Linked DNA regions of Arabidopsis thaliana. The main gene of each other region encodes a partner of the protein of the gene in region 4 in a complex. Each region holds a gene or a part of one and is shown on either strand. Other genes may lie near its edges. The genes, in order: VIP3, ELF7, VIP4 and VIP5.

Region 1 (6,458 bases), on a different chromosome or scaffold from region 4:
AGCACATGGCCTTATGGATCGGGTGTTTGGTCGAAGAAAGAGTGGGTTCTTCCTGAGATCGATGACGACGACATCGTTTCAGCTTTTGAAGGAAACTCGAATCTGTTCTGGGCAGAGAGATTTGGTAAGCAGTTTCTAGGTATGAATGATCTGTGGGTGAAACACTGTGGGATTAGTCATACAGGAAGTTTCAAGGATCTTGGAATGACTGTTTTGGTTAGTCAAGTTAATCGTCTGAGAAAGATGAAACGACCTGTGGTTGGTGTCGGATGTGCTTCCACCGGAGATACTTCTGCTGCTCTATCTGCTTACTGCGCCTCCGCTGGAATCCCATCGATTGTGTTTTTACCGGCGAACAAGATCTCTATGGCTCAGCTGGTTCAGCCGATAGCTAATGGTGCGTTTGTTTTGAGTATTGACACTGATTTTGATGGGTGTATGAAGCTGATTAGAGAGATAACTGCGGAATTGCCGATTTATTTGGCGAATTCGTTGAATAGTTTGAGGTTAGAAGGGCAGAAAACTGCAGCTATTGAGATTTTGCAGCAGTTTGATTGGCAAGTTCCTGATTGGGTGATTGTTCCTGGAGGTAACCTAGGAAACATCTATGCCTTTTACAAAGGGTTTAAGATGTGTCAAGAACTGGGACTTGTCGATAGGATCCCGAGGATGGTCTGTGCACAAGCAGCTAATGCTAATCCTCTTTACTTGCACTACAAGTCTGGTTGGAAGGACTTCAAGCCCATGACTGCAAGTACCACTTTCGCCTCTGCGATTCAGATCGGTGACCCTGTCTCCATCGATAGAGCTGTGTACGCTCTCAAGAAGTGCAATGGTATTGTAGAAGAAGCCACAGAGGAGGAGCTGATGGATGCGATGGCTCAAGCGGATTCGACAGGAATGTTTATCTGTCCTCATACAGGTGTTGCTCTAACTGCTCTGTTCAAGCTGAGGAATCAAGGAGTGATTGCACCGACTGATCGAACTGTGGTAGTGAGTACTGCTCATGGGTTGAAGTTTACTCAGTCTAAGATAGATTATCACTCCAATGCCATCCCTGACATGGCTTGCAGATTCTCCAATCCTCCTGTTGATGTGAAAGCAGATTTCGGAGCTGTCATGGATGTTCTCAAGAGTTACTTAGGAAGTAATACACTTACGTCATAAGAGACAAGACCATAATCTTTAGCTGTTTTGTTTTTTGAAAACTTTTAGACGTTTGTTTGCGTTACTCTTCAACTCATCTCTCTGTGATCTTTATCTGTTTCTCAGTTTTCCAATAAAGTTCTATCGCAAAGTTTGAATCATTTTATCTTCTTTGTTTTTTGTGTAAGCGATAAATCTAAAGACTCCGGTCAAAATCAACCTGTTGCAGATTATATTGTTACAACTAGATGCGTCTTGGAGAATGCATAAAAGAAAAAAGTCAAAAAACCGAATTGTTCATGAGTAATCATAGAGCGATACACTCTTGTCATCAGAGACACTAGCAAGTCGACCAGCCCGGACACCGGTTCCACCTGGTGGTCTAAAGGCCACAGACCAAACCTGGTCATTGTGGTTGCTCATTGTCTGAATCGCAGCTCTCATTTTAAGATCCCATAGCCTCACAGTTCTATCGCTTGAGCCGGTTGCTATGGCTCCACCGTCTGGGCTAGCATCAACGCTCAGCACCCAACTCGTGTGCCCTGACATGGACCCCAACAGCGTTTTCCCTTCTGCATCGTGCATGTTCACATGCCCATCATCTGATCCAGAGAAGAGGACTCTCGGGTCTACAGGGGAGAACACAAGGGACCTTACAGGCATATTGTGACCTTCTAGCTGGTGAAGTAGCTTTGAGCGGTCAACATCAAAAACACAGATCGTACCATCCATTGAACCACAAGCAAGTCGTTTCCCATTAGGAGACCAAGCCACCGAGAGAACGAATTTCTTGCTGCTGGTTTTATCGGAAGGTTTTGGTGCATCTGGGCGTGGGATTGATAGAGTTGAGATTAATCTCCAGCTTGCAGTGTCCCAAAGCTTGACTGAGGCACTACTTCCACCTGCAACAGCAAGGATCGTACCCTTGGAACATGTAAAATACTATGTTAGCAGAGCACCATTCTAAAGAGTAATGTTGAAATTATAAGCTCAGAAGCAAATAAAAACTCCACTGCAAACTAAAAGAGAGATCATTGCACTGATACTTGATAGTCACCAGGTCAAAATTCTATCATACCAAATCAAGATTTATCATCAAAGCACCAATAAATTGTTCTTAATCTACTATATAAGACTCAATGAAAAATCAGAAGATGATCTAGATCTATTTTCCGAGCAGAGTAGATGACCCTATCTGATCAGAGCTACAGATTCAAACGATACTCAGCAATTCCATATAGTACCCAAGCATTGTTATATAGATCAGGAGAAGCATTACTCGCAACTAAGAAGTGAAATTCAATGAAGCAATCGAATTCTTTCACCACAAAACAACCCAAAATCCTTCAAAACCCTAAAATTGGAGGCAATCTCATTGAGTCAATTACCTTAGGTTCAAATTGCATTCCCCAAACCTCAGAAGGAGGAGCTTCCAAAACAGCAATCGTAGCATTAGTATCAACATCAAACACACGGACAAAGCTATCAATCGAAGAAGATGCTGCAATAATCCCAGAAGGATGCGCAGCCAAAGCTGCTACTCCCAAAGAGTGTCCAGTATTAGTCCGCACAAGATCCAGCTCGTCCGGTCGCCATAACTTCACCGTCTCGTCAAGAGATCCAGTCAGAAGCAACGCCGGTCGATCTTCCGTCGCCGGAACCCACGTCGCTGCCCAAACGGAATCTTCGTGAGCGTTCTCGATCGATTTCAGACCTGCGAGTTTCATTCTCTTTTTAGGTTTTTACTGTGTTTCCTCAAGTGAGCAAGAAGAAGCAAAAGACCCAAATTTGAAACAGAGACTTTGATTCTCGTTTTTTAGTTATAAAATAGAAACTCGCGTCGTTTTTAGTAGTTGGAAACAATAGAGTGTTTAACATCGTTCCGTATTCTTGTTTACTACTAAAGGCCCATTAATATCGTAACAGGCCCATTAATATCTTCTTCCTCACTCTCCCGCCGTCGTCAGCTAATTGCGGAGAAGTACTCTCTGGAGCCGCCACGTCTCAGTGATCCGACTACGACACCTTTCTTCACTCTTCTTCTTGCGTCTTCTCTGCTCTCGTGGTCTCTCTGTTATTTAATTTTAATCGATTGAGATCGCTTTTAGCTCTCGTCTTTGAATTTTACGGGCAGAAAATGGGTGAAGAAGCTCGAGCGTTAGATATGGAGGAGATCAGTGACAACACGACGAGACGAAACGATGTCGTTCATGACTTGATGGTTGATTTATACCCGCTTAGCAGCTACTACTTCGGTTCAAAAGAAGCTCTTCGCGTCAAGGACGAGATTATCTCTGATCGAGTCATCAGATTGAAATCCAAGTAAATCGAGTTTTGATGTGATTTAGATCATCTGGTTTTTTTCTTATTGTTTTAATCTATAGCTAAAGTTTCTTTTTTGTTTCTTTTGAAGTTATGCTGCTCATGGATTGAGAACTTGCGTTGAAGCTGTTCTTCTGGTAATTTTATAGTTGGTAGCCAAATTAGGGATTTTGAAAAGTTTTACAGGGAAAATTGGTTTGAAAGGATTGATTAAAATCTAATGTTGGGACACATCAGGTTGAGTTGTTCAAGCATCCTCATGTTTTGCTTCTTCAATATAGAAACTCCATTTTCAAGCTTCCTGGTGGTCGTTTGAGACCTGGAGAATCAGGTTTAGTATGCTGTTTCCTTGCATCTTTATGCATAAATATCGCTGTCTCAATTCTAAACGCTAAAGTCATGTTTCTCCTTAATCTTCTAGATATTGAAGGTCTAAAACGGAAACTAGCATCAAAGCTATCGGTTAACGAAAATGTGGGTGTTTCGGGTTATGAGGTAGGAACTATGGCTTCTTGTTAAAGTGCTTTTGTATCTGATTGTTTCTGGCTTAAGAATGGTCTCTCTAATTACAACATTGTTGTAGGTAGGAGAATGTATTGGGATGTGGTGGAGACCCAACTTTGAGACATTGATGTATCCTTTCTTGCCACCTAATATTAAACACCCAAAGGTTGGTTAGTTAGTTTCACTTTCATTGTAAGAAAAAGTTGAGACTTTTGAAGATTTGCGCTTATACTAAAAGCTCTGCTCTATCCTCATCTTTTGTGTAGGAATGCACAAAGCTTTTTCTTGTGAGATTACCGGTACATCAACAGTTTGTTGTGCCTAAGAACTTCAAACTCCTCGCTGTTCCATTGTGTCAACTCCATGAAAATGAAAAGGTATGTACTATCTTACTTGCATTGCCCTTAACTCATCGTGAACTTTTAATCGATGTTCCTGGTAAAACTAACAGGGTCAGTCAATCAAGCTGTATTTAATTATGTGTTGTGATGTTTCATTTATGCGTTGCAGACTTATGGGCCGATCATGTCGCAAATTCCTAAGCTTCTTTCGAAATTCTCCTTCAACATGATGGAGATATGAACGAACCTCATGATCATTGCCTCTAGTAGCTCTTGCCCCCCGCAATTTGTGATAGGATTATGTTTGGGGAAATCGTTTGTGGAGCCTCTCTGAGTCTGTGACTATATAATGTATATAGGGCTTATAATATATAGACAATGTTGAAGAATAGCATGTTCTTGTTGGTTATAGAGACTAGACATGAAGTATACTGATAGATAGATTAATCAATTCGAAACAATTTTTCTTTGTGTGATAATTTCGATGTGTAATTGAATGTATACATGAGTAAAACAAATATAGGGGTGTATGCTTATTTGTATATTCCTTGTTGAAGAAAACCTTGTTATCTTCAAACATGAAACCGAGAAACATAAGTAAAGATTTTACTGTTTGTTATATGTGTTTATTGTATTTGATCAAACAATATTTGAAATATTGAAAACTTTCTATAAATATCAAACGTTAGTTTGGCATTCTGCGTTAGCGTTTTGTTGTAGTGGTGATTTTGGGAGTGTTTAAAAACCAAAAGCTAAAGAACGAAGAATCACTGAATTAACCGGTTTGTTTCCGGTTAAAATGTGGATTAAAACTTTTCGGTCAAAGAAAACCGGGAAAAAGAAGTAGTAAATGGGAAAGTCTCTAAGTCGTTGGTCAACGTCGTGAACATGTGCTTGACTAATATTAATTAATGGCTGTTTTATTTCCAAATTCCAATTTCTGGCTGAAAAGTACATGAATTATGCTTAAAACTGTGTTTTACTTAATATATAATGACGAGGAAACAACAAAAAGGAAGAAGCGAAGAACGAAGTAGACGAAGACGATGAAGAAAGGTGGATTCAGCAATAATCTCAAGCTCGCAATTCCTGTTGCTGGCGAGCAATCCATCACCAAATTCCTGTATGTTTCTCGATCTCTCTTTCTCCATGGATCTGTGGATAGATAGATGTATTTGTGTGTGGAAATGTCTCTGGTTTTGTTTTTGAAGGAGGAAAGGTTTTGGTTCTCTCTGTAGGACTCAAAGCGGTACGTTTAAGGATGGAGATCTACGTGTTAACAAGGATGGAGTTCGAATCATTTCTCAATTGGAGCCTGAAGTCGTAAGTCTTTCCTCTTCCTCGTTCGGTGCTGATTTTACTGAATTTCGCGAGTGTTAGGTTTGATTGTTTATTTGTACTGCATATGAAGATTTTGTTGAGTTTGAATGCATTAACTGTAATGTGGTTGGTGGATCTGATCATAATTAGAACCTTCTTAAGATCATTTCTGTAGTTCTGGATAGAGAAACTCAGGGATTAAGCTCATATCTTCTAGATTACTGTTTGTAATCTGTTTCGTTTGCGACTGTGTTTCAGCTGTCTCCAATTAAGCCAGCTGATGATCAGCTGAGCTTGTCGGATTTGGATATGGTTAAAGTCATTGGCAAAGGAAGTAGTGGTGTTGTTCAGCTGGTTCAACACAAATGGACTGGCCAATTTTTCGCCTTGAAGGTACTCATTGGTTAACCTTCAGATTCTTTTATGTATATGATGAGCTAAATTCCTCATCTTTTCTCTGTGTTTGAAGATTTACAAATCTTTTTCTTCCTTGCCTTGTCACTCACTGTGCATAACTCTGATGCTATATGATTAGGTCATTCAACTAAATATTGATGAAGCAATTCGCAAGGCAATTGCACAAGAGCTCAAAATAAATCAATCGTCACAGTGTCCAAATCTTGTTACCTCGTACCAGTCATTTTATGACAATGGCGCAATCTCACTAATCTTGGAGTACATGGACGGAGGATCTCTAGCAGACTTTCTCAAGTCAGTTAAAGCCATCCCTGACTCCTATCTTTCTGCCATCTTTAGACAAGTAAGAAACACAGGATACACAGGAAACTATACGCTTCACTGTTAATTGGTTGATTGATGTGATTT
Region 2 (8,363 bases), 7.5 Mb from region 4:
AAGTGGCAAATGAACAAAAAAGATTGGACCCCACTATGTGTGCATGAGATCAAATTATTGGGGATTCACGTGAATTACTGCAATTTTGTTACCAAATTACTAAAAACTTGCAATGTCTTTTGGTTGTTTTTTTAGTATATGTTAATTTTCTTTTGTTACAAAAATAAAATTCAACGTGAGATGGTGGTGCTACTGATGTTAAGTGTTGGCCGCTAGTGCTAAAATTCTCACCATTTTATTTTAATCTTTGATGTTATTATACAGATTTTTTAAAATCTATAAACGTTTGAAATTGATAGCAGTGATTAAGGAAATTTGTATGTATCAACAATAGCTTGAATAATGATTAGATTTAAGCATAACTAAAAACAAGGCATTGTCTCTTTTTTTTTTTTTTCTGTTTTTATATTTTTTTTCAGCCAATCACAAATCAACACAACTGATTTTAGCAATTAACATTTTAAAACTTAATAAAATTTCCATATCAAGATATTTATAAGAGAAAAAAATTAATAGACATACAAAGAGAAAATGTAATTTTAAAAGAAAAAAAAAATCATATGAAAAGAAGAAAAATGCAAAATTTTGTTATTAAAATATATATTATTATCCATATTATTAGGAAAGGAAAATATTAAATCTATATTCGAAGTCCACATGTGATTGGTCATTTCAGTAATTGACATTTTAAATTTTTATAAAATCTCTACATTAAGATACTTATAAAAAGCAAATAACTAAATAAATAAATAATAAATGAAACAATAAGAATGTAAACTTGTTTAAAAATAATGTAAAAAACATATCGAAAGAAGAAAGTTGTAAATAAAATATATTCACATTGCAGAGCTTCCCAGTCAAACAAATCACAAATAAAACGTTACATTATTTAGTCAAAAACGGTTGCTTTTTTCCTCAATAGAAAACTCCCTCACGCGCCCAATTTTTTAATTTTACCAAAAACAGCCAAAAACGGTCCACAGATTTTGAGGAGGTGGCGTCGACGCGCTAATTGTGCGAGTGGGTAAGAATTTGAATTTCGCAGTTATGTTTTGGGCTGATTTTTATACTGCCCACTGGGCTACACAAGAGGAAACCCAGTTTCATATAATAATAGGCCCACCTAATAGAAAAAGCCCTTCGTAAAAGAAAACATAGTGGACCATAATAATTTCATTTGTACAAGAAATTTTGAAAATGTCATATTTTCGGGAACCTGTAAAATAACCACAATTGCAACACTGGGATCTACTACAGTACAAGATTTGCTCTAATCCATCCTAATTAATTACTGGTAGTAGAACCTGTATAATATTATTACAGATTCTAATCAGCTCTGGTAGAAAGACAGTGTAAGTAAGTATCTAAGAAGGCTTCTCTGTACAAGGAATTCTCTCAGGGATGTGTTCTCATGAACATAGCCACTGAAGATGAACGGAGCTGCCACATTAGATAGGATCAAAGTCGTAAATGGCCAATTCATTAATTATGGACGTGTACATGTAAAATCGTTTTTCAACTTCGCCAGCTATCCAAATCAAAATTTCTTTACTTGCCAAACTACAAAGCTGTGGTGGAGGCCATATTACGCTTTTAAATTAGCCTACAATAGCCTTGCAGGAAAACCATTGCAAAACCGATTCAATAGTTTGAGGTACACGAAACGTTCATTCAGAATAATCATCCTCATTACCATCACTATATTGATTGGCATCTTGTTCCGGCTCGTGTTTCCAAGATCTACCAAGGCCGCCTTCGTCCTCTAATCTTCTCATCTTGGAGCTCGAAGCACCAACCCTAGAAGAGTAAACCTACATCCAAAGCCCCAAAGTCCAAAGGAATTGGTAAGAGAACTAGAACTTTCCACGTGTTACTCTTTTAAAGGCTAAATGTATGGATTTACTATACCCCTGAATCTTTATGTTCTATCACTGATACAGTTGATCTCCGCCTTACAGTTACCCTTGAAGGTACTGGAAAGTGTTCAATCTCATCAGAAGATCTTCCTTCCCTGGCCCTTTTCTTCCTCAAGTTCAACCTCATGGGTAGGGGCTGCCAAATTCTCAACGGTCATCCCAAAGTATTATAGACAGAAGAAAAAAAAGATACACAACTGGAATATGTAACAAAAACCGATGCAATACCAGATAGCTAGCGGTCCCATTGTCAAATGATACCAGGTATGTGCCAGGATCGTTTGCATTGGGTTGTACCTGTTATAACATCAGGTGACATATTTATTTCAATCTGCAACTCAAACAATCAAAATTTCACTTAAACCACATTGGCTATAGTACATACATCCCAGAGGTATTCGCGAACCCAAGTGTAAGAGATTTCTTCGTTTTCATCATGGATATCCTTAGACAACTGGCACAGCAACATAAATTGATAACACATCAATCAAACTGAACTTTTCTTGACTTGTCAAAATTTGTGTAAAAGAGAGATCAGTTTATGGAGAGGCATGTCTACCTCATCCAAGGAAGGAACCATGTACGCCAGAAATTTTTCTGGATTGGCAGTGTCTGATCCAGCCACCACATAGCTTTTCAAAATGGCCTGTGGAGTATGAGGTCAGAGCTCGTCATCAATATGAAAATAAGGCAATCAACCATAGTTAAGATTCAGCCCCATATATCATATATCCTATCCTCATTCAAGTACACTTATGTAAGCAACAAAAACGATATAGTTGATACAGTCATCTTTTCTCTCAGGAACAAAGTATCCCTATGATAGAGACCAGAGATAATTGGACCATACTCATGGATATCGGTAACTCATAACTCACCCGTGACTCATGTGCATCACGAATTGAAGGGTCCAACTTGCCAAAGAATTCAGAATCAGCTATAGGAGCACCATCAAAATTCGCTACCACAAACTGCTCATCGTACCTGTGTCAAAAAAGGAAGGGGAGAGTCAAATGTAATAGCATAGTATGCTACAGGTTCAGTGAAAATTATTAGTGGATGTTTCATCCAAAAGGCAATACACTAAAACCCTAGCAAAGAAACATTTGAACAAGAGTTGGAGCAGAGAAAAGGGAAAAATTAAAGACCCAACATCTCTCTTAAGTGTTGTATAGTTAGACCTTAACAAGGCTGCCTATTTTCCCACCCGATTGATTACACTATCCTATAGGAAAACTATTCGTGCATGTTTCCGACCACAGGAGATCCTTCAGAGAGAGCCAACATAAAGATAATCTGTAAAGTGTCAGCTTTCAAGCTGTGTCTACATGTAGGACTATTATGAGAAAATTTTGCCTGATTCGGTATTTCAGATTTAAGATTGTCTGCAAGGGGAAATAAAGAGCATCCAACCTATCAAAATATGGCAACAGTGGTAGAACTTCAACCGGCTGCAAGTTTTTATTGGTGGCATGAACTGGTCGAGACTTGCATGCCTCAAAGGATGCTTCAATATCCTTGATTTGTCTCTCTCTAGAGACCAAAGAAAAATAAACCATTAGACCTTTTTTTTTCTCACTTTCCTTAGAAATACACATATTTGAGAAACAACACACCTATTGTTAAGATTGTGCAAGATGTTGATGCCTCCTTTCATCTCTCGCAGTTCCTTTGCTTGCTTCTCCGTTAGCGACTACACAAGGTAAACATAGGAAATTGGAAACTGTCTCTAGAAGCTATACATGGCAAAACAAATTTCCAACAAGCGAGATGGATAGATACCTGTCTTGCCGATTCGTTATTAATAGAAGAAATGTATTGTGTTTTGACGAGCCAAGACATGCCTTTATCAGTAGGTCTTTCTTTCCTCCGGATGCCATCTTTCTTAATAGGTGTAACAGCGTCATCATCACGCAAGAGTTCTTCATCTTCAGGGGCAAGAGGTGCCTTGACTTTGGGAGGGCTGAAAAGAGCTACAACAGTAAGTATCCCCAGTAGATGAGGTCGCTGGCATTAAAGACACTAAGACTTTATTGAGAGCACATACTTGTACACACTTAGGTCAAGCAGATCCAAGGGTATTCCAAGATCAGGCTCGACAAAGATTTTTGGTTTCCATAATTTCTCCAGGGATGTGATGGTATACTTTGTAAATCTAGTGGGATCAAAATAGCTGGCAAGTAAGGACAGTAGAATAACACAGAAATAAAATTTGGCAATAATAGAGAAACATACTGATCTTTATCCCGTTTAATGGTCATAAGCTTAAGCTGTGCACTAGGGTCAGGGAGCTCATTCCGGAACCTTGAAGAAGAAGATGAATATCAGAGTCTAACAATAATATGTAAAAAAGATTTAGGTAGTCGTTTGAAGAATACTGACTTGAGCTTGCAGATGAAGGTGGTTGGTTTCTTTAACCTATTCTCGACCCTGTCGGTGGTGAGTAGGGGCGTCGGCTTCTTCTCCTCGGTGTGTCCCTTGGGCATCTGAGACTTGTGAGAATTTTTCATCTGCTGTCTATGTTTTTCGTCTTGCCTTTGTTTCTCTAACTCCCTCTTCTTCCTAAGCCTCCTCTCTTCTTCGGTCTCGATTTTCTTAGAATGAGGAAGATGAGACCTGTGGTGGTGCTTCGATGGATCCGGTTTAGCACGCTCCCGCCTTCCAACCTGCTTGGAGGCCCCTTTCTCGTGGTCATTGGGACCCTGGTGTCGAGGAGGATCGGGAACGAGCGGAGGAGGAGCTGAGGGAGGTGGCGGAGGAGGAGGAGCTTGGAGCTGGTTGAATTGAGGATAGTGGGGCCCCTGCTGATAGTAAGCATGCGGAGGAGGAGGCGGCGGCGGAGGATATGAGTACGGTTGATGCGACGGTGGTGGGGGAGGAACAGGAGGGGGTAACGACGGCGGGGGAGGCGGAGGGGCCAAAGAATTTTGAGATGGTGGCTGAGGAAGAGGAGGATACGGCGGCCGGTACGACGCCATTCTCGGTGTACTTTGTGATCTGAATCACCTAAACCAACTAAAACGAGTCTTCTTGATATATATTAATTATATAGCTCCGGTCAGACTGATTTTTCCTTTTTACTTTAATTTGGGCCTCACTAGCGGCCCAATAACCGCTACTATCATATGGGTTCTGATAATTACGGCTTCAATACAAACAAAAACAATCTTAAGCTCACCGTTTTATGAATCCCAAATATGAACGAAACATGCTTTGTACCACCAAGCTCATCGACGTGTGACTGTGTGAGGAACACAAAATATTTATTTTCTACATTGATAATTACTCAAACATTATGTACAGTATAGCGAACCGAGGTGTGTGGTTAAACACTCAACACGCTGGACCAACTTATGAAAACCTCTTACCAGGACTTCACAAGCCGAAGATGTTATGGTCGTTGGCACTGAAAATAGCACCGCCAAACTGCCTGGTGTTCAAGTCGCCTCCATCAAGGGCGGTCCCAAAACGGTCAAGCCACTGGGCAGGACTGGGATTCTCTGCCTCTTCCACCCACTCCGACATCATGTCAATGTCCTCCAGGGCAATTGGGTCTGTCTCCAAGGTTATCATCCTCCCTAACTTTAGATTCTGATTCACGTACGCCAACTTGTTCAATATTTCTCTGTCAATCTTGTTTCGCCTTTCCCAGTGCATCTGCTGGAATGTGCTCCATTGGCGTTCCAAGTTGTAACCGCTGCAAACTTGGCTTAGTATTCTGATGGCCACCCGCTGCAAAACAGGTGCTGAGTCACCAAACTGCTCCCACCAGAGACCTGCATTACTAAGCAAACCATTATTAGACATCAACTTCTAGTCTTCTAGTGCTTCGTTACCAATTCTAAAGATCCCAGACCATACCCCTAATAGCCTGGTGAGGGGAAGATATCTACTAGTTTTGCAATTCGGTTTACTACGTGCCAGGCTATATCAACCTGGACTTATTTAGTTGTGTAATAAGACCATAGCTTTAATTGCGGTCATAGATAAGTGGATTATTTTTCTCCCGACTCAGACTACCTATACATCTCTGTTCACTAGTCATGACTTAAAGAAAATATAAATGTATTTATTGTCCATACCTGGTGAAACTGAATCCCTCGCCTCCATGGCCAGGTTACAGCCGAACATTCCCTTTGCCCTAGTGAAAGTGAATATCTGATTTGTAATATCACGCCGTAGATCGCTAGTAGGAAGAAGTTTCTCCAACACTTTGAAAAAATCTTCTTTCAAGGAAGTGAGGAACTTTATCTCTGGGTTATACTGAATACTGGGGTTCAAGAATGCTGCTGCTGCATGAAGAGGTGAATGCAAATGCTCACACCAGTTAGTATCAACTATGTCAGAAAAGACCTTATGCTTATTCTCATCCATGATGTAGTATGTCCGTATTGACTCCTTGGCCTTGGACATTAACTCGTATATAGAACCTACAGCGGGCTTTCCAGTAGAAACTTCCCTCAACACTTTCAGGATAGGCTCGGAAATAGCCACACTTTCTTCCACAGCTCTCCAGAAATCATTATCCTCTAGGATATTCACGCATGAAATGCTCTGTGGTTTGTTAGTATTTGTGGTATACTCTGGGCAATTGAACATGTGTTTTAGCCTTGCCTTTTGTTTCATCATTGACTGTAATGATAGAAAATTGGAGACAGACCTTGTGACACCGCTTCGGATAATATCTTGCCCGCCTGTTAACTTTCTCAATAAATCTAGCACGGGGCTATTGTTGTAGACAAACTTAGATATGACCTGCGCTTGCGATATACATTGATTGACCCAATCAACCTTGGAGAATTCTTCTAAGATGATGTTCAAACACTGAGATGCACAGGGGGAGACGAAAATGGTTGCATAGTTTTGCAAGAGATGGTTTGAGATACCAGTGTAGCAGAAGCTGTTGTCCATAATGATTTGCACAATATGCTCCTGACCAATATCTTGGATGACAGAATCAAAGAGATCAGCAAGGCATTTTGAGTTCTTGAAATATGAGGAGGCGTCGACAGACTTGTGAAAAAAGATTCTGGAAGGTGAAGAGACGGAGAAGTTAATCAGTGCTCGTGATTTGTTGTCGGTCCATGCCTCAGCGATGATAGTACAGCCGGTGGTGACCCACTCCTTTTCAGTGTCTTTCAGTTGTAAGCTAATATCTGACTTAACCCTGTCCAGCCATTCAGTCTTGGGAGAAGGAGCAACAAATCCAGGACCACACTTGGCAACGGCGTCGAGCATATGGTGATAAGAGGGTGAGCGGGCAACAGCGAAGTCAATCTTGTTCTCAAAGAAGAAGAGAGAAATACTCCTCTCTGCAATGTCCTGCGCATTAGGAGGAGAACTAGGAAAGACTAGTTTGGACGCAGGAGCATCAAACGGAGGAGATAAAGGTGGTGGAGGCTTGTACTTGTTGGTAATGGGGGGATCATCCTTGGCAGATAAAATGGAACGAACTCTATCAGTAACATCGTCCCTAACCTTGGCACATGGATTAACCCCTTTACTGGGAAGGCGAGAGAGATGATGCTTCAATCTACTAATGCCGCCATTAAGAACTCTAGAGCAAAACTTGCATTTAACCTTGTTACCATCTAGTTTCTCTGCGTATTCCCAGCAGATATCTTTTTCTCGTACCACTGTCTCACACAACAACAATCGAATTTTTCATCTCAATCATAGGAAAGAAAATAAATAGAGCTGCTACTTTACTTTACATTACTTACTTGGTGAATGATATATGATGTTGTTCTTCGTCAGCTTCCACCTGCCAACACACACAAAACCCTAGTAAGGAAATAAGAAATGTATGGAGGATTCTAGATTTCCTCTTGAGGATTGCCGGAATATGAGAAAGACACATGACGTAGCCACCGGTTCCCGGAGAGGAGAGAAACAGATTCGAAGATCTAATCGGAGAAGACCAAGTAGCAAGAAATCAAAGAGAATTTGGGATAAAGAAGAGTAATTGGGATAAGCTGCTTTACCGAGAGAGAAAGAGATTCACTTCTTCTCGCCGGAACCAACACTTCTGAGAAGTTAATTTTTCGCGATATTTTGCTCTCCTTCTTTCTTATGTCGTCGTCCTAGTTTTACTTTCCCTTCCTTCCTCTAATTGTCGTCGTCATTTCACTCTTAATTACATTTTCAATGAAATCGATACTAGTTTCCACCACTTTCAATTCACTATCATCCTTAATTTGGTTCACTGCACTAAACGATTACACTCAACAATCAAGATATTGGCTCATCATTACCACGCACTAGAATGTTTTAGCTATCGATGATTTGCAGTATACGATGACCATACTTGAAGTATTTAAGTAAGAAGAAGAAAAAAACAACAAAGCTAGCTAGCAGTCACAATAAAATTGATGATCCTGAATATTTCCTAAAAGGAAAGCACACCATATGCAATCACATGTTGCTACCAAGAGACTACTAGCATAC
Region 3 (8,771 bases), on a different chromosome or scaffold from region 4:
CATTTATAGTCATAATTTAAATAATTTTATTTTCTATAGATTTCTCAAAAAATCATGAAATCACGTATTATTCTTTTATGTCAAAATCGTAAAATCGTGGAATTGCGTTTTTTGGCCAAAAATCGCAAAATCATAATTTTTGATGTAAAATTATAGAAATCGCTATTCCACCTAAAATCATAAAACTATATTTACGCTGAAACCACTAAATTATATTTTCTTGCCAAAATGACAATATTATGTTTTTCCGCCAAAACTGCAAAATCATGTTTTCCTGCTAAAATTGCAAAATCATTTTTCCCGCAAAATCATATTTTCCCGCCAAAACCGTAAAATCGTATTTTTCCGCCAAAACCGTAAAATCATATTTTCCCGCCAATATGTTTGGTATTGATAGTGGGTAATAATGTTGAATATTTGTCATTTGTTAAAATGAAAACATGGGTATTTTAGTTATTTTTATCTAAATGAAAATGTGAATGAACTACAAAATGATCAAACAAATAAAGATCCATTTAAATGCATCATTTATATTAAATTACAAATAACGAAACAAACATCATTCAAATGTATCATTCAAATGAATCATGTAAGTGGATCATTTGAATGGAAATGATAAATGATGAAACAAACAGGGCCTTAATCATATAATTCATGATTGTTACCATCTTCTTAATGCATGACATCCATTGCTCCAGGCACATTTTTCTCAATTGGCACTTCCAATCAGTGATTATAACACGGATTTAAAGTCAGTACTGGATCAAAGCATTCGGATCCTCCAGGCCATGATTGATATCTGCGCAAACAGTGGATGGCTCTCAAGCTCACTGACGTGTATGCGCCTTTTGCAAATGGTCATGCAGGTAGTGTCCTGAAGATTACTACTCTTAGCTTGTTCAAATTATTTCACTTTTGCAAATTAAGAGGAATCCAATTCTCTTTTTAATTCTAGGGCATGTGGTCTGATCAAGATTCGTCATTATGGATGATCCCATGCATGAATGACCTTCTTCTAGGATCTCTGACCGCAAGAGGGATTCACACGCTACATCAGCTATTAAATCTTCCAAGGGAAACTCTACAAAGTGTAACCGAAAACTTCCCTGCATCAAGATTATCTCAGGTGCTCTCAAATTGGTCACAACTATTTCTTTTGCATTTAATACTTTCACTCATGGAGTCTCAACTATTCTCTGCTGCACTCTTCGATCTTAATTAGGATCTCCAACGATTCCCACGGATCCAAATGAATGTGAGACTCCAAAAGAAGGATTCCGATGGCAAGAAAAAGCCTTCAACGCTGGAAATCAGATTGGAAAAGACATCAAAGAGGAATAGCTCGAGGGCATTGGCCCCTCGATTCCCAAAGGTTTCACTTAAAGACTTAACCACAGATTAGTTTGAGCTCGAAACAAAAATGAAATTGAATTCAACACGTTTATTTTGTGTTATAGGTGAAAGACGAAGCGTGGTGGTTGGTTCTTGGTGATACTTCAACTTCTGAGCTCTTTGCTGTGAAGAGAGTTTCGTTCACTGGTCGTCTGATCACACGCATGGAGTTACCTCCCAATATAACCTCTTTTCAGGTACAAACAATTTTCAACTTATTTTCTCAAACTAAATCATTCTTTCTTACACTTCTATGTATATATTATTATTGCTGAATTGGTTTTTTTTTTTTTGGCCAGGATACGAAACTCATCTTAGTTTCGGATTGTTATTTGGGGTTTGAACAAGAACACTCCATTGAACAACTTGCACGACGCGGATGAGCCATTAGATGATGGATTGTAGTAACCCCATATTTTTTTGGAATTTGTTTTATATATTGTCAAAATTTTCTTAAAATTCTGGTTTTTTTTTGTCGTCTTCTTAATGTAAAACCAAATTTTACCTTACGTTTTGTAATAAAACAGTGTTACAGATCTTTTGAGATACATAAGAAAAATAATGAAGAGCTTAAGGTAAATGTGTTAATTTTACATAACGTTATGTAGAACAGTGTTACAAAAAAATTGGGCTACATGACTACATAATAAATTAATCAAGAGATTAAAACTAAATGTGTTTACTCTGTGACAGTCTGTTTGGTAAATTTGTTTGGGTCAACAAGTTTACGTTATTTTGAACTATCTCCATATCAAATTACCAATTATTCATTACAGTTACAGAAGGGAAATAAAATCCATTATTACATGAATTTAAAAAAATCATGATTCTGTCTTTATTTTGATTAAAACGAGTCTAATTCCAGACTACATTATAACAAATGGACGAAAGGAGAGTGAAAGATTTGACGAACATGATTAATCTTCGTCACTGTCATCAATCACGGCCTTACGACGATGAGTCGGAGCTTTTCTAGGCGGAGACTCCTCCTCGTCAGACTCAATCCCTTTCCTTTTCCGGCCACTTCCACGGTGATCCTTCTCTGCCCTACCTCCCTGCATAAACCACATTTCACCACACATTACAATCTCAATGAACTTCCTCATTGACAACAATAAAAATGGAAGAACATTCTAATTTGCGTACCGCAACCTCTTCCTCTTCTTCATCTTCATCTGAGTATCTGTTAGATTTTCCTCGTTCCTCTTCATCTTCTTCTGCATCTTCCTCATATTCATCTTCTGAATCCTTGCCCCTTCCACGGGCCGGTGACTTTTCTTCCTCTTCTTCTTCCGTCTCATATTCTGATTCCTCTCTCTCACTCTCAGAATACTCCATTTGACGTCTTGACGGTCTGGCCGAAGTCATTGAAGACCTCCCCGGAATGCCTTTGTGGCTCTGGTTTTACCCCAGTGAGAAGCAGTTGAATATTAGTTCAATTTCTAATGCTTTTTTTGCATTCCGAGATATATGAGTTTTTGTTTTGTTTACCTTCTTGGCGTTTAGAATCCGGCGTTCCCGTTGCGCTTCAGCTTCGAGATCTTCCTCATAGCCACGGTTTGAGCGGTAATCCTCGTCATCCTGGTTCCAAGAAACAATCAGTCGTTACTAGTGCAATCTTTGCTTTAGAAAATGGAAGAACCCAATATACACAAACTAATCAAACAGACCTCATCAAGAGCATCTTCCAAGTAGCCAGTGGAAAGTTGTCTCCTTTCAACAGGAAGTGGATACTTGCGCTTGATTTTCTCCCTCGCCTGACTCAGCTTTGTACTAGCCTTGAGGTTTTGGCTTTCCGCCTTCAGAATTTGAGATATTAAATGAGAAAAGTCTACAAACACTGCAATAAAACTATTGTTGGATTGTCTGAGCTCAATTAAGAGGTAACCTTTTCTCTCTTCTCCTTCTCCCTCTCAGGGTCAATGTCAGTGACACAGTTCTTAACTTTGAAGGCCTTCTTCTGCCTCGATTCAACAATGGCAGTCAAGAGCCTATGGGAATTTGACGTCAGCGATGATGGGGTAAATCTCATTTTCTTCAAAATTCTTCCTTGTGATTGAAGGATACCCTACACCAACATCCAAATAAGACAACACTTTGAGATATAGCAGAGTTGGAATGCAGGAGACATTTGGTTTCCTAATGAGAAGTTTTGTCATTTAGTATAGAGAATCGTATGGGTGCTCTAAAATGAATCAGTGTATCTAGGAGGCTGGAGCAACTACAAATTGATCGCTAACTAAGGCAGAAGGAATGACGAAGTAACACCTTTTCATGTTTGATAAAGAGGTGATTCTGGTCTTCTTTTGCATCTTGTTCAGTTATGTTAAGAACTTCGTTTCCTATCAATAGCTGTAAGCTTCCATCTGACCACCTTACAAACCGAGCATTACTTTCACTCTGCATACGAATATAGAGTGACTTGAGTTTACTACAGCAAAAGTAACGGAAAAAGTAGAAGAAATGTGTGCAATAAGCAACAAAACCAAGAATTCTTGTTTATGGGCAGATTTCTAATGAAGCCTAAAGAATAAGAAGAACTGTTGAACAGAGATATCATAAAATTTCATCTCCAACTATATGAACACATGTCCGTAGTGAAAAGCACAAAGTAAACTAATTCGGAATACATAAATTGCATCAAAAGTATGTACTTATAATACATCATTGCATCAGAAGTACTAGTAATAGGCAAACTACATAGCTTCATTGCAGGTTTGATGGAAAATTTAAAAGCAGAAAAGCTTTGAAGAAGTGTTCACTTACATATGTTTTGCCATCTCGACTCTTAACAAACCTATGGCGAACAATATTATTGTCCAAACGGATACGATTCTTTGCTCCGGGTTCATCTGTCATGAATGTGTCTTCTTCAACGAATGTTTTGGCATCAAAAGGCTTTGGATCAATCCCCATGATATTGGAAACTTTTATCATGTTCATCTGAAAAAGATCAAAGAGAAAACGGTATATGAGGAAGCGCAATTTTGCTACAGAACATCTTCACTACAGATAGACAACTAGAAAATGGGGTTTCAGATATAAAACAGAATAGCACGCTCATGTACACCAAATGGCCCTTCATGCTAAGTAAATGTAGAAGCATGTTTCAGTGCAATGGTTCTCCACATAAAAGACATCAGATACTCACTCTTCGAACCACAATGATATGAGAGATTTTGGTAACTTGGAAATACCAGAAAGGAAACTATTGATTTGAAGCCATGTCAGCGAATAATCTTTTAGCAACATAAAGCAGGTATACCTTAACGGGGTCACCTGGAGGAGGGCGGAAAGGAACCTCCACTTCCAAAGGGGGACCAACTGGCCTCTCCCTGTACCTAGCTTCAACATGTTCAGCTTCTGACTCGTATTGAGGATCTTCTTCAGGGATTATATCATCAAGCACCATATCATCGGGTCTCAGATCCTTCTCAGAGCCCTCTTCATCTTCGATTGGCGATCTCTACAAAATTAGACATCTCATCATACATACATGCAATTTCATATGGTTTCTAAAAGGAAGCAAACACTGGAAAGGAAACAGATATTCTGTAAACTGAAATGTAATATTAGATGCAAGACTCACATGTTCATCCTGCTCAACGTCATTCCGAACATATTCTTCTGCGTCTTCATCATCCGAAGATCCGAAAACATTACGAATATTTACGTCTGACTGTGCAACTTGAACCTCTTCCTTCTCCTCACTAGGTGATCTACCCACCACGCCATATTTCCATGTACAAAAGACAAAGTGATCCATAAGAAATTTGAAAATCCAAGGAACCTCAGAGGACTAGCAAGTATTATTAAATCCAGAGCACAGAAAAGATCAAAAAGAAGCTATGAAACAGCTAGGAAAAAAAAGAATGGAAAAAGGGGTACCTTGGACTCCTAGTCTGATCAACCTCTTCATCTTCAGACTCATAATGCTTTTCACCAGACCTCTCTGATCCGCTCTCAACAACCTCCTGTCTCCTCTTTTTGGCTACTCTACCCCCATGTTCTTCTTCTTTGTTATCACTATCACTATCTCTTGCTTCACTTTCCTCTTGTGGATCAGCCTCCTGTGAACTTTGCTCCCTCTCACCCTCACTTTCTCCAGGATCAAGTTCTACATCTCCCTGTTCCCCGTCAGACTCAGCTTCAGCTTCTCCGTGAACTTCAACCTCAGCTTCACCTTCTCCTTCAGGCTCCACCCCGCCCTCAGCCTCATCCTATCAGTGTTTACATTGGAAATTTCAGCCACAATTTCACTGATATCTTAGTCTAGTTGATATTAAGAAGAACTGAAGCTGAATTAGGCCTAATAAGTTGCATTGGTTCCTGCAATTAACCTAAAACCCTAAATTCAAGCGAGAAGAACTCCAGAAACCATTCGTATTCCAAGGTGTAATTGAAGAACAGTGGCAGTGAAAAATACGAAAACTGAAACAATCAATAGTGACGAAACGAAGGAGATAAAGATGGAGAGAGTTACGGAAGCGTAGTTAGGCTGACGACGATTGCATTCATGTTCGGATTCGATCTCTTCTTCCTCGGAATTATCTCCGAACAGATTAAGCATCATCTCGGATCTCTTTTCTCCTTTAACCATCTTCGCCTCACTTACTCAAAAGTCACTGCCTCTTAGCTGGTGACGGCGGCTCGTGATCTGAGCTCCGACGAAGGGTTCACTGTTATCGGCCTTTGTTGAAGAAGCTATTTTTTTTTCATCTCTACCTCGCGATTTTATGGCATCAGAATTATTATTATTAAAAACAATTGTTACAACTTACAAAGAAAAGGAAATTTTCATCGATATATCTTTTTTAACGCATTACCGGATTATTAAAAATCATTTTTTTTACGTGTAACGACGACTAGAGAGGGAAAAAAGATGGGATTTTATGGGCTTTTTTGAGATTGGAATTCAATATTTTTGGCCCACAAATTTTGGGTTATGGATACCAGTTTCTTTGTGATAGTGAGCTTGTGTTTGCCTTGGCCCCTATGTATATGAATGATACAACATCCTTTTAACTGATTCTTTTGGCCCCTATTTTTTTATATTTAATTTATTTTAAAAACTAATTATTAACTTCTTTGATCAAATAACTTGAGTTGCCAAAATAAATGTTATGTCTTCTTCTAAAACATTGTTGTTGGTTTATAGATTTTATCTGCTTTAGAAATTAACAAGAGACAAAGATTAGGTAAAAGCATAACCGACTTGTGTTCTATGAAAACTTAAGTGACAACTAAACATCATGAATATTCAGGAAATCCTGAAAATTTAAACAGAATTATAGTAATTTCTGAAAAACTCAAGAAATTATGGAATAAAAAGAAAAAAGAAAAAACTATGGACACTTTTAAATTACTCAAACTAGTTTAAGGCTTTTGGAAATTTCACTTTTTGCTTTTTTTTAACTCGAGAAAATTACAATTTTATGTAGACACATTTTGCTCACAAATGTTTATTTATATATTTTCCATAAATTTATTTTTCAGCCTTTTATCTACAAAAATTTATCTTCTAAGAATGTTTTTACCACCAAAAATAATAAATATAAACCACAAAAATAAAATTATATATTTTATATATATATATATATATATATATATATAACAATTTTTATCTATGATATCTGGCAGTCGCAGTTGGCTTAAGCCGCCTGGCCGCCTCTGGAGGGACCAAAATAATTCAAATGGTAATTACGTGCCTTGGCTTCCAACCAACGTTTTTGACTAGGGCTGACTCGGTAGCTTGTTATGTTAGTATAAGAGTTAACTCCATCTGATACTCAGCTGAATAAACTCATACGTACAAAGGAATATTATCTAAAAGACGAGAGTACAAGTGAGAAATGGCGTTAAAGGTGATCAAGATCTCCCGAGTCAGCCCTGCAACCGCCTCCGTCGACCCGCTCATTGTCCCACTCTCGTTCTTTGATTTACAGTGGCTTAAACTCAACCCTACCGAGCAAGTCTTCTTTTACAAACTCACCGAATCATCATCATCTCGCGACGTTTTCTACTCCTCCATCCTCCCCAAGCTCGAGCGATCTCTTTCACTCATCCTCACTCACTTTCGCCTATTCACGGGTCACCTTAAGTGGGATTCACAAGATCCAAAGCCGCATTTAGTTGTTCTCTCAGGAGACACACTCTCTCTCACAGTGGCTGAGACTGATGCGGATTTCTCACGTATCTCTGGCAGAGGGCTTCGTCCAGAGCTAGAGTTACGCCCTCTAATACCCGAGCTACCGATTTATTCTGACTCGGGGGCTGTTGTATCTCTGCAAGTCACTTTGTTCCCGAAACAAGGCTTCTGCATTGGAACCACAGCCCACCATGTCGTCTTGGACGGCAAAACGGCTGAAAAATTTAACAAAGCATGGGCTCACACTTGTAAACATGGCACCATACCGAAAATTCTACCAACGGTTTTAGATCGTTCTGTCGTCAATGTTCCAGCCGGACTTGAACAAAAGATGCTCGAACTTCTGCCGTATCTTACGGAGGACGACAAAGAGAACGGAAGAACCCTAAAGCTACCTCCAGTCAAAGAGATTAACGCTAAAGACAACGTCCTCCGAATCACCATCGAGATAAGTCCTGAAAACATTGAGAAACTCAAGGAGAGAGCCAAGAAAGAGTCAACACGCGCTGAGCTTCACTTGTCAACGTTCGTAGTCACGTTCGCCCATGTGTGGACATGCATGGTGAAGGCACGTAGTGGTGACCCAAACCGACCGGTTCGTTTCATGTACGCTGCTGATTTTAGGAACCGGTTAGAACCACCAGTCCCTGTGACATACTTCGGGACTTGTGTCTTAGCCATGGATTTCTATAAATACAAAGCTAAGGAGTTTATGGGAGAAGATGGATTTGTCAACACCGTCGAGATTCTCAGTGATTCGGTCAAACGTTTGGCTTCACAAGGGGTAGAGTCAACTTGGAAAGTGTATGAGGAAGGAACAAAGACAATGAAATGGGGTACACAGTTGTTGGTCGTAAACGGGTCGAACCAGATTGGGATGTACGAAACGGACTTCGGGTGGGGAAGACCCATTCACACTGAGACAATGTCTATCTACAAGAACGATGAGTTCTCTATGTCCAAGAGGAGAGATGGTATCGGTGGCGTCGAGATTGGCATCTCTTTGAAGAAACTTGAGATGGATACTTTTCTGTCTTTATTTTACAAATGGATTGGAAACTGAAAACGTACGGTCTTAATCGATCCCAGCTTTTGCTTATTTGTATTTTTATTTCTAGTTCAATAATTGCCCTATATGTACTACGCAAATTTGTATTGATTCTGTCTTTTGAATTCTATTTTTTGGGGTACAATAATCATCCATATTTGAAATATTAGTAGACTTTTCATG
Region 4 (7,613 bases):
TAAGGCTAGAGGTTGTGTGTATTAGTATTAGTGAGATCACCAATACAAAATAGTATTATAATAAGTGCGAATAGTTTTTTACTTAACTATCATATGAAGAGTGTGGTAGAGTTCTAGTTTTGATGTATCAAATTACTAGAATTAATAAAAGTATTATTTTAGGTTTTTAGTTAGTTTAATAAGGTAAATAGCTAAAAATGTCAATTAGGACCAATCATGGTTATCCATGGAAGAAACTCACTAGAAACAATCAGACCAGACCAATTAGAAAAATATTATTCACCTTATATGATTCATTACTTGGAAACACATGCAAGAGATAGTTTCCAAGCATAACCATGACTTTAATCGGTTTCTTGAGCAATTGAAACACTAATTATTGACTCACCATATGCAATAATAAGGTTGGTGGTTGAAATGTATTTTAAAACTCAATGGTATATTTTTTTGTATAATAAATTATTAATATAAAAAAGATTTTATTCTTATAAAATATATTTGCATTATAATGACAGATATTGGATTTTATTGATAAGTCAACACTTCTCTTTCAATTGTGTTACGAGTAATTTGTTTTTATCGTCCACGATCCATACACGAGCATGATGATTGCATAATCACTAACTTCTACAAAACCAAACTAATATTGAACTGTTAATTAGCTCATAACTAAATTCATCTAATTAAGAGTAGCAAAACTGCAAAAGACTTGATTTTCTAATTTCATGCAGTCATACACTAATCAGGAGAGTTCACACAAAAACGAGTACAAAAATATTTCAAGAAAAAACAAACTGATCTAAACATATTTTGTGGAGTACAAAAGAAAGATATGAAGAAAAGAAGAACCAAGAAGCAGTTTTCAGAAGATAATGAAACACTGAGACTTGAAAAAAATGCAAATAAATCAGAGAAGACCTCTCCTTCTCTTGTAATCACTAACAGTTAACGTAAGGCCATGTCTCTTGCCATCGTTCTCTGCGACTCTGCATCCCACAGTTGCTTCGGTCAGTTGCTTCCTCGCCATGAACGCTTTCTGTACTCCTTGAGGTCCTCCGTACTTCTGTAAAGCCGTTAGCGATAACGACAATTCAAAGTTATGAAGCTGATTGTGTTCTGCTCCTTGACCTATTGGAGCTCTTGTGTCTATTAGCTTTCCTGCCTCTGCAGCTGCTTCTAAAGCTGCTTCTGTCGCTTCAACACCTGCTCCTGCATCTGCTCCATTGGTCTCAACCGCTGCTGCAACCGCTGCCTCGTTCTCTTCTCCATCTTTCCCCTTGTTTTTCCCGTTGTAGTAGTTTGATGATCGGGTCCATCTTCTTGAAAACGGATCATACCCTGCTTCACCGGCTTTGAGACTAGCAGTTATTGATTTTACCTCAGATGCGTTCTTGAAATTCTCGGCTCTGTTCTTCTTGTTCATCTCAGCAAGTTTAAGCGCTTTTTTATCTACCCCTTTCTTGTTCCGTGAAGCGTCGAGCTGTTTGATTTTCGACTTGATCCTCTCTACACCTGCTTCATCGTTTTTGCTCTGCGCAATTTCCAATTCTTTTCTAAGCCGATCTTTCTCGGCCGCAACATTCATTGGCCTGACTGACGCAGATTTTTTCTCCTGCAGCATCTGTTTAACAGTTTCCGCAGAGTAAACAAAACTGTTTGTTCTTTGTATCGCTTCTTTCTTCTCCGATATATCTTGCTTTGTGGGCATGCGACCATTTGTTCGCTCAACCTCTCTGATCCATTGCCTATACTCTTCCTCCAGCGGATGACCATCTGAGATCATAGCCATTTGCCATCGAGCCGCCGAGGTTTCATTTCCCCAGACGACGTTAAGGTACTTGTGTGTAGTTTTATTCTCTAGCTTGTAGGTCTTGTCAGGATCGGTTGCATCAACATTCTTCACCCAGCAGAGTCTGTAAATTGGACCACTCTTTGACCTTCCGATCCCAACCCTCACAAAGCACCCAACTATAAGCTCTTCAAAGAAAGGCTCCATTAGCCATTTGGCAAGCTTAGACCGTCTAATGGTAACTTCCTTAACATCCTCAAACGTAGGCACATCTGACCTGTCATCATCACTGTCTAGCATTCCTCCATTCGAGCCTTCATCATCACTCTGAGACCTACTATCACTGTCACTTTGGCTGGAACTACTCAAATTGGAGGAAGCTAACGGTTTCCTCTTCGTTGATGAGAAATCTCGACTACCTGAACCACCTTTTGATGCATCTCTCAGTTTCCTGAGAGCTGCTGGGTCCTGCTGCTTCATACGCTTCGCCCTCAATTCATTCAGGGCATCATCCTTAGCAGCGGCTCTGTCTGCAGATCTAGCAGATGAACGCACACCACGAGAGGCCGGAAGAGGCTGAGTCTCCTTTTTAGAAACAGGGGTTTTCTCACTTTCTCTCTTGGACCTAAGTTTCTCAGTGAAGTTCTTATCACCTTTCTTATCAGCACGTTCAGAGAGAATCATCTCTCTCTGAAACTCAGTCATTCCAGCAAGCTTCTGCCTGTCTTCCTCATTCTTGTAAAGGTCATCTCCAAAATCAGACTCCTCGCTGCTGTCACCTTCACGATCAGATGGTCCATCACCATAACCACCTTCAACTCGAGCAGCTCGATCTTCTCTCTCTGCCTCCAATCTCTTCTTCAAAGGAACTTGAGACCCAGAGGGTTTTCTACTAGCATAGCCACGATCTTCATCAGAATCATCCCTTGAATCGCTACTACCATCAGAGTAAGAACCCTCACGTCTCCTCGATGATGGAGGATGACGACTCCTCCCTGCTGAATTTGTTCTCCCAGCAGCTTCCAAAAGCAAGTTCTCTAAATCACCCATAATCTTCTAAGGAGGCTCACAAGTAACGAATTTAAATGGTTTTCACTGTCACCTGAAATTATGAGAAGTATACAGTTAGAGAAGCAAAAGACCTCACCACATTGGTCAAGTACGGTGTATACCACAAAAAACCAGTAGATAGCTAACTACAAGAGCAAAACAATCCTTTGGATTCTAACCCTAGATAAGCCATTAATAGGGTTAAGGAAAACTTTTCACCCAATCAGGTAACGGTGAAGTCTAAAGCCAAATCGCGGTTTTGCGAAAACCAATACGAGTTTCTGAGGTTAATCAAGCGAATTCGGAGACGGAGAAGGATCGATTTCTGGTATGGATCTTCAATTTGATTGGAAGAGGTAAGGACGGCGGAAACAGGGAACGCAGAAGCCGTTTGTGGCGGAGAAAAGGAAATAGAGAGAGGGAAGGGTATAGAAAAGAAGAGAAAAGTTGAAGGAGACTCACTTGAGATCAGACGGAGAAATCGTCGGAAAGTGTTGCAGAGATCGACGACGGGCGGCTAAAGGAGAAGAAGGAAGGGGTGAAAAACGAAAGAGTAATGTCGAAATTGTCGAGAGGAAGCAGATGCTGAAGTCTTTTTATTTTTTAAGAAGAAGAGCTGAACAAGGGAAAAACTATATATTTAATGAAAAACCCCTTCAATGTAAATATTGCAAAACGGGAAAAATGTCACTAAAATTCCCCACTTATTGAAAGCATTCATTTAAATCCTCAACTTCTAACAAAACGAAACAAATATTAATTTTACGTTGATTTTCTAAACAAAAATCAGATTTATGTTGTCTTTCCAAATAAATACCAAATTTTTGTTAATATGGTCATGTTAAGCATGATGTTAAGTAAATTATCAGATCCCGTTAACAAAATTAAATTTCTATTAACATACCCGTTAATTCAAACGTTATTGCTTTTTATAAAAACAAAGCGACGTCGTTTAATTGTAACAGGATGTGTTATCCCACTTAACGGCATGTCTAATATGACTAGGTCAACGAAAGTTTAGTATTTATTTGGAAAGTCAACAAAATTGGTATTTATTTGAAAACTCGACATAAGTTTGATATTTATTTCGTTTCGTCGTTTAAAATATCACTAAAATCCTCAACTTGTTAAAAATGTTGATTTTAATTACACTTTTCCTATTGCAAAACTATAAATTATCACTTATCTTAGTTTATCACTAATTCGTTCTCAATCATAAATTGGAATTAATCATGTGAGTATTGATTAATATATTTTTTCAAAAACAAAGATATTTTCTTATACTAGAGGAAAATGAGTCAGAAAAAAAAAAGAATTTTTTTCTTTAGGCTAGAAAATTATGACTCTTTCATAGTTTCATTAAGCCTCGTAATTCCAATATTGATGATTATGAATAACAAAGAAAATGTGATTTTGAGCACACAAATAAACGATATACTAAGATACGATATGATTAACTCTCATTAAGCAATCTATTTCTATATATCTGTTTGTTCTTTCTTTGTATGACAAAAGTACAAAAGAATGGGGGATGTGAATTACTAAACTAAGCTGAACCAAAAAAACAAAACCTCAAAAGAAAGAACTAAAAGATACTCTATTTGTGTCCATATTATACGTGTAACATGTTCCATTGTGTGAGACCACTAACTATAAGTGTGGAGCAAACCCAAAGTGTGGCAGAAGCTGTACAGTGAGAGGAGAACGAAGATGTCGCCTGTTTTTTTCCCTCCGTTCTATGGCAATTTGCACGACTCGATAACTTCCATAACCACTTTATGTGTTTCTGGAGGAATCATGTCCAGTGTTGTATGAAACGCCTAACACAGTAAGAACAAGTACATGGTCGCATCAAAAGGTTTCAGTGCGCATACCACATCGACTACTAAGACTGAAATATGAAGGGTTTAGAGGAACGTACCACAAATCTATCCAACACGGGTACCAGAATTGCCATGTCGCGTTTTGGGAGATAATCTCTGATGGCATTTCGTATACTTCTACTGCTAAGAATAAGAGATTATGTTACAACTTTTTGAGAATTAGAATACTTAAAAAGGTAGTAAGGAAGATATAGATAAATAACCTTTCTGTGGATAGAAATGCAAGTAGAAGGGCAGAATATGCCTCCACGATCATCTTTTCCGCTTCCTTTTCGCTTTCTAAAACAGCTTCTTCATCGTCCTGAAACATGAGGAAGGAGCAGGTTTTAAGACATACTTTCTACTAAGGGCTATTTAAATTCGACAAGAAAACAATGATTAGATACCAACCAAAGTGAAAGTACTCGTTTCATCTTTGGTGTCTGCGGATCCTTTATTGGTGAGAAAGATTGAACATAAAAGAGGGATCATGTCTTGTTCACTATCTTGTAACCCTTCTGGATTGGTAATCGGAACACTAGCTGCCGCGAGCCTTGACCTGGACCAAATAATAACTGATTAGCGAATATTTTTCAAGACATGGGTACGAGTCAGATCATAATATTATGAAATCACGAGTTCCCCCCATTTGCATAAAAGACAATCAGTGACTATGTTTTCCTGAGTTGACATAAAGATGTAAATCGAAAAGAGCAGTTTGGTACCTGTTTATTCCGTTTTTCTCCACCAAGTTTACCAGTAGCCCCAGGATGGCAACAAGAAAATCTAATTCCTGGTCTGTGAGATGTTTATCTTTCTGGTGGCATGTCCCGGACTCCATCTGACTGTAAAGCGGAGATCTGGTGAAGGAAGGAAAGTGTCCAACAACTAATTCAGCCATGCTCTCCAGTCCTCCGCAGGCAGCAACTTCCCGACAACCAACAGAATTACCATTTGTTAGGTTCATTAATACCTGAAAATATGTTCAACAGAATCAGAACGTAGCAAAAGATCACATGATATCCTCACATATCTAAACAGATTAGCATAAAAGGTGACATTCCATTCTGGTCCAAACATATTTTCATTCCAGCTGCAGAAATTTGTTACATAACAGAAAAGTAATTGTTAAAAAGACTGTACATTACCTTCACGGCTGTTAAAAGGCAATCAGATAAAAGACAGAGACATCCTTTATCAATGTCATATGTTAAAGAAGGTTGCTCTGTTACATGGTGATCTCTATCACTTGATTCCTCCTGAGAATTTAAACCATGGTTTGATTCCTCCTGGCTCGAGAAGAGCTGAAGCGAGCGTTCATCTTTCTTATCTCTGTAGCTTCCCTTCCTCTTTTGACCTTTAGATTTCTTTTGCTTTCCTACTGCCCATCTGGAAGGTCCTGAATCTTCTAAATCAAATGAAAAAGGATCTTGACTATCCTCGAAGGATGCAAAGTTTTCAACTTTTTTACAACTGGATTCTCTAGTTTGGCTAGTCCTTGTTTTACTTCTGGAAATGCCACTACCCAATGAGGCTAATCTGCCTGCAAACGACCCAGTGTTGGAACCAGCTGTAGTCGTCAGCGTGCAGTGATCAATTGTCGACATTACACTTGATTGAGACCCCGGCTTTGGTGTCGTTGAGCAACCTACCAGGAATGCAGACTGATTTCTCTTGGATACGCTCAAACTTTTTATGGAGCTAAAGCCAGTGGTAGAGCAAGTATCTGAACTAATAATTGTCACAAAGCCCTTCTTAACAGCAGAAGCTAGATGTGGCTGAGGGTGAGGATGCTTTTCGTTCCTGTGAGCACGTAACTGAAGACCTGGTGTAATCATTCCAACCAGCCATCAGCATAAGAGATGATAACATACGAAGCAAGTCATGGTGGTAAAATCCAAATATAGGAATGGGTACCTGAAAGTATTTTGATGACACTTATCATGAGCTCTGTGAAAGACAGTCGGGATTCATGAGAACCCATGCTTTTATTAAGTCTGAGCAAATGAATCTGAAAGATATATTATGTACAGTTATTTTTTAGGTGCAAACTGCAGAGCTATTCAATACAAGCTATCATGAGGCTGGGAATCCAAAATAAATAAAAGTTACCTGGTTTTCTGTGCTGAGGAATGTAGCATTCTCCATGATTTTTAGACATTTCAGAAGTAACATCAGACTCTGCTTATTCAAGTCATCTTTTATATCCTCGACAGAGAGTGTGTCATGAGTCACCCAGCTCTGCAAACAAAATATGCAATAGAGACTCTTATTAAATACAGTTGCAAAGGTCCAGTAACTATTGACAACTTAAGTACAGAGTCTTTGCCACCACTAAGACAGACATCCAACTTGTCCACAACAAACGCAGTCACAATAACATTAAACTGTGTTACACAAACAAGAGAATTCTCTTGCCCAAGGACAAGAAAAGAACCTTGACTTGCAACGATTTTCAGCAATAAATTAGATTGAAATAAAACATGAACCTGAAGATAGCAAACAATTATAAAGCTACCAATCTACGACACTTTACACAAGTTATTGACGTCCTAGCCAAATAAAGACATATATAGCAAGATCCCTATAACATACAGGTTCACACCTCCATTACAGTGTGGCAATCCATAACAACATCAAAGACAGCATCAAGTCCTCCAAGTTCTCTCAGTTTCTCCTTGAACATTCCTCCAGATTTTTTCACAGTACCAGAGGTATCTGGATGGGGAATGATAATATCAATAATTAGAAATTTATAAATCAATTATAATCTGGTCGTAGGATTCTATTACCGCTGACACATTTGTTAAACTGATTCACTGAAGCAGATAACATAACTTTCCAATTCTATAACTCAATATAATATACCAGATGCGTCTTAAATAGTTAGCTAGTCATTGTTCCAGCAAAAC

Evidence for each region.
Region 1: VIP5 (region 4) and VIP3 share a complex: the UniProt entries of both Arabidopsis thaliana proteins name them as parts of the nuclear PAF1 complex.
Region 2: VIP5 (region 4) and ELF7 share a complex: the UniProt entries of both Arabidopsis thaliana proteins name them as parts of the nuclear PAF1 complex.
Region 3: VIP5 (region 4) and VIP4 share a complex: the UniProt entries of both Arabidopsis thaliana proteins name them as parts of the nuclear PAF1 complex.

What each region holds. Positions count from the first base shown.
Region 1 is NC_003075.7:14,594,143-14,600,600, reverse strand, and holds VIP3 (Transducin/WD40 repeat-like superfamily protein), read right to left. Parts: upstream 3,043-6,458; 5' UTR 2,874-3,042; coding exon 2,535-2,873; exon of another isoform or gene 2,378-2,534; intron 2,071-2,377; coding exon 1,444-2,070; 3' UTR 1,301-1,443; downstream 1-1,300. Other genes in the region: MTO2 (Pyridoxal-5'-phosphate-dependent enzyme family protein), read left to right, coding at 1-1,167; homolog of CFIM-25, read left to right, coding at 3,284-3,468, 3,560-3,605, 3,706-3,799, 3,890-3,963, 4,052-4,138, 4,239-4,349, 4,483-4,554; MKK2 (MAP kinase kinase 2), read left to right, coding at 5,360-5,436, 5,525-5,636, 5,892-6,026, 6,169-6,393. UniProt on the Arabidopsis thaliana protein: Component of the PAF1 complex (PAF1C) which is involved in histone modifications such as methylation on histone H3 'Lys-4' (H3K4me3). Involved in regulation of flowering time. Required for the expression of the flowering repressor and MADS box gene FLC.
Region 2 is NC_003070.9:29,999,076-30,007,438, forward strand, and holds ELF7 (hydroxyproline-rich glycoprotein family protein), read right to left. Parts: upstream 5,009-8,363; 5' UTR 4,895-5,008; coding exon 4,299-4,894; intron 4,221-4,298; coding exon 4,152-4,220; intron 4,072-4,151; coding exon 3,964-4,071; intron 3,880-3,963; coding exon 3,699-3,879; intron 3,610-3,698; coding exon 3,533-3,609; intron 3,450-3,532; coding exon 3,330-3,449; intron 2,901-3,329; coding exon 2,795-2,900; intron 2,563-2,794; coding exon 2,476-2,562; intron 2,371-2,475; coding exon 2,302-2,370; intron 2,214-2,301; coding exon 2,145-2,213; intron 2,053-2,144; coding exon 1,909-2,052; intron 1,812-1,908; coding exon 1,668-1,811; 3' UTR 1,463-1,667; downstream 1-1,462. Other genes in the region: AT1G79740 (hAT transposon superfamily), read right to left, coding at 5,292-5,692, 5,999-7,552, 7,640-7,640. UniProt on the Arabidopsis thaliana protein: Component of the PAF1 complex (PAF1C) which is involved in histone modifications such as methylation on histone H3 'Lys-4' (H3K4me3). Involved in regulation of flowering time.
Region 3 is NC_003076.8:24,601,537-24,610,307, forward strand, and holds VIP4 (leo1-like family protein), read right to left. Parts: upstream 6,190-8,771; 5' UTR 5,993-6,189; coding exon 5,876-5,992; intron 5,613-5,875; coding exon 5,281-5,612; intron 5,112-5,280; coding exon 4,982-5,111; intron 4,859-4,981; coding exon 4,658-4,858; intron 4,336-4,657; coding exon 4,159-4,335; intron 3,793-4,158; coding exon 3,661-3,792; intron 3,461-3,660; coding exon 3,281-3,460; intron 3,192-3,280; coding exon 3,063-3,191; intron 2,974-3,062; coding exon 2,884-2,973; intron 2,791-2,883; coding exon 2,539-2,790; intron 2,448-2,538; coding exon 2,310-2,447; 3' UTR 2,098-2,309; downstream 1-2,097. Other genes in the region: AT5G61140 (U5 small nuclear ribonucleoprotein helicase), read left to right, coding at 699-866, 956-1,126, 1,223-1,372, 1,458-1,589, 1,692-1,775; AACT1 (anthocyanin 5-aromatic acyltransferase 1), read left to right, coding at 7,245-8,603. UniProt on the Arabidopsis thaliana protein: Component of the PAF1 complex (PAF1C) which is involved in histone modifications such as methylation on histone H3 'Lys-4' (H3K4me3). Involved in regulation of flowering time. Required for the expression of the flowering repressor and MADS box gene FLC.
Region 4 is NC_003070.9:22,479,043-22,486,655, reverse strand, and holds VIP5 (plus-3 domain-containing protein), read right to left. Parts: upstream 3,553-7,613; 5' UTR 3,302-3,552; exon of another isoform or gene 3,019-3,301; intron 2,892-3,018; 5' UTR 2,840-2,891; coding exon 908-2,839; 3' UTR 687-907; downstream 1-686. Other genes in the region: AT1G61030 (WAPL (Wings apart-like protein regulation of heterochromatin) protein), read right to left, coding at 4,576-4,659, 4,761-4,842, 4,926-5,023, 5,113-5,260, 5,427-5,674, 5,850-6,526, 6,619-6,712, 6,814-6,942 and 1 more. UniProt on the Arabidopsis thaliana protein: Component of the PAF1 complex (PAF1C) which is involved in histone modifications such as methylation on histone H3 'Lys-4' (H3K4me3). Involved in regulation of flowering time.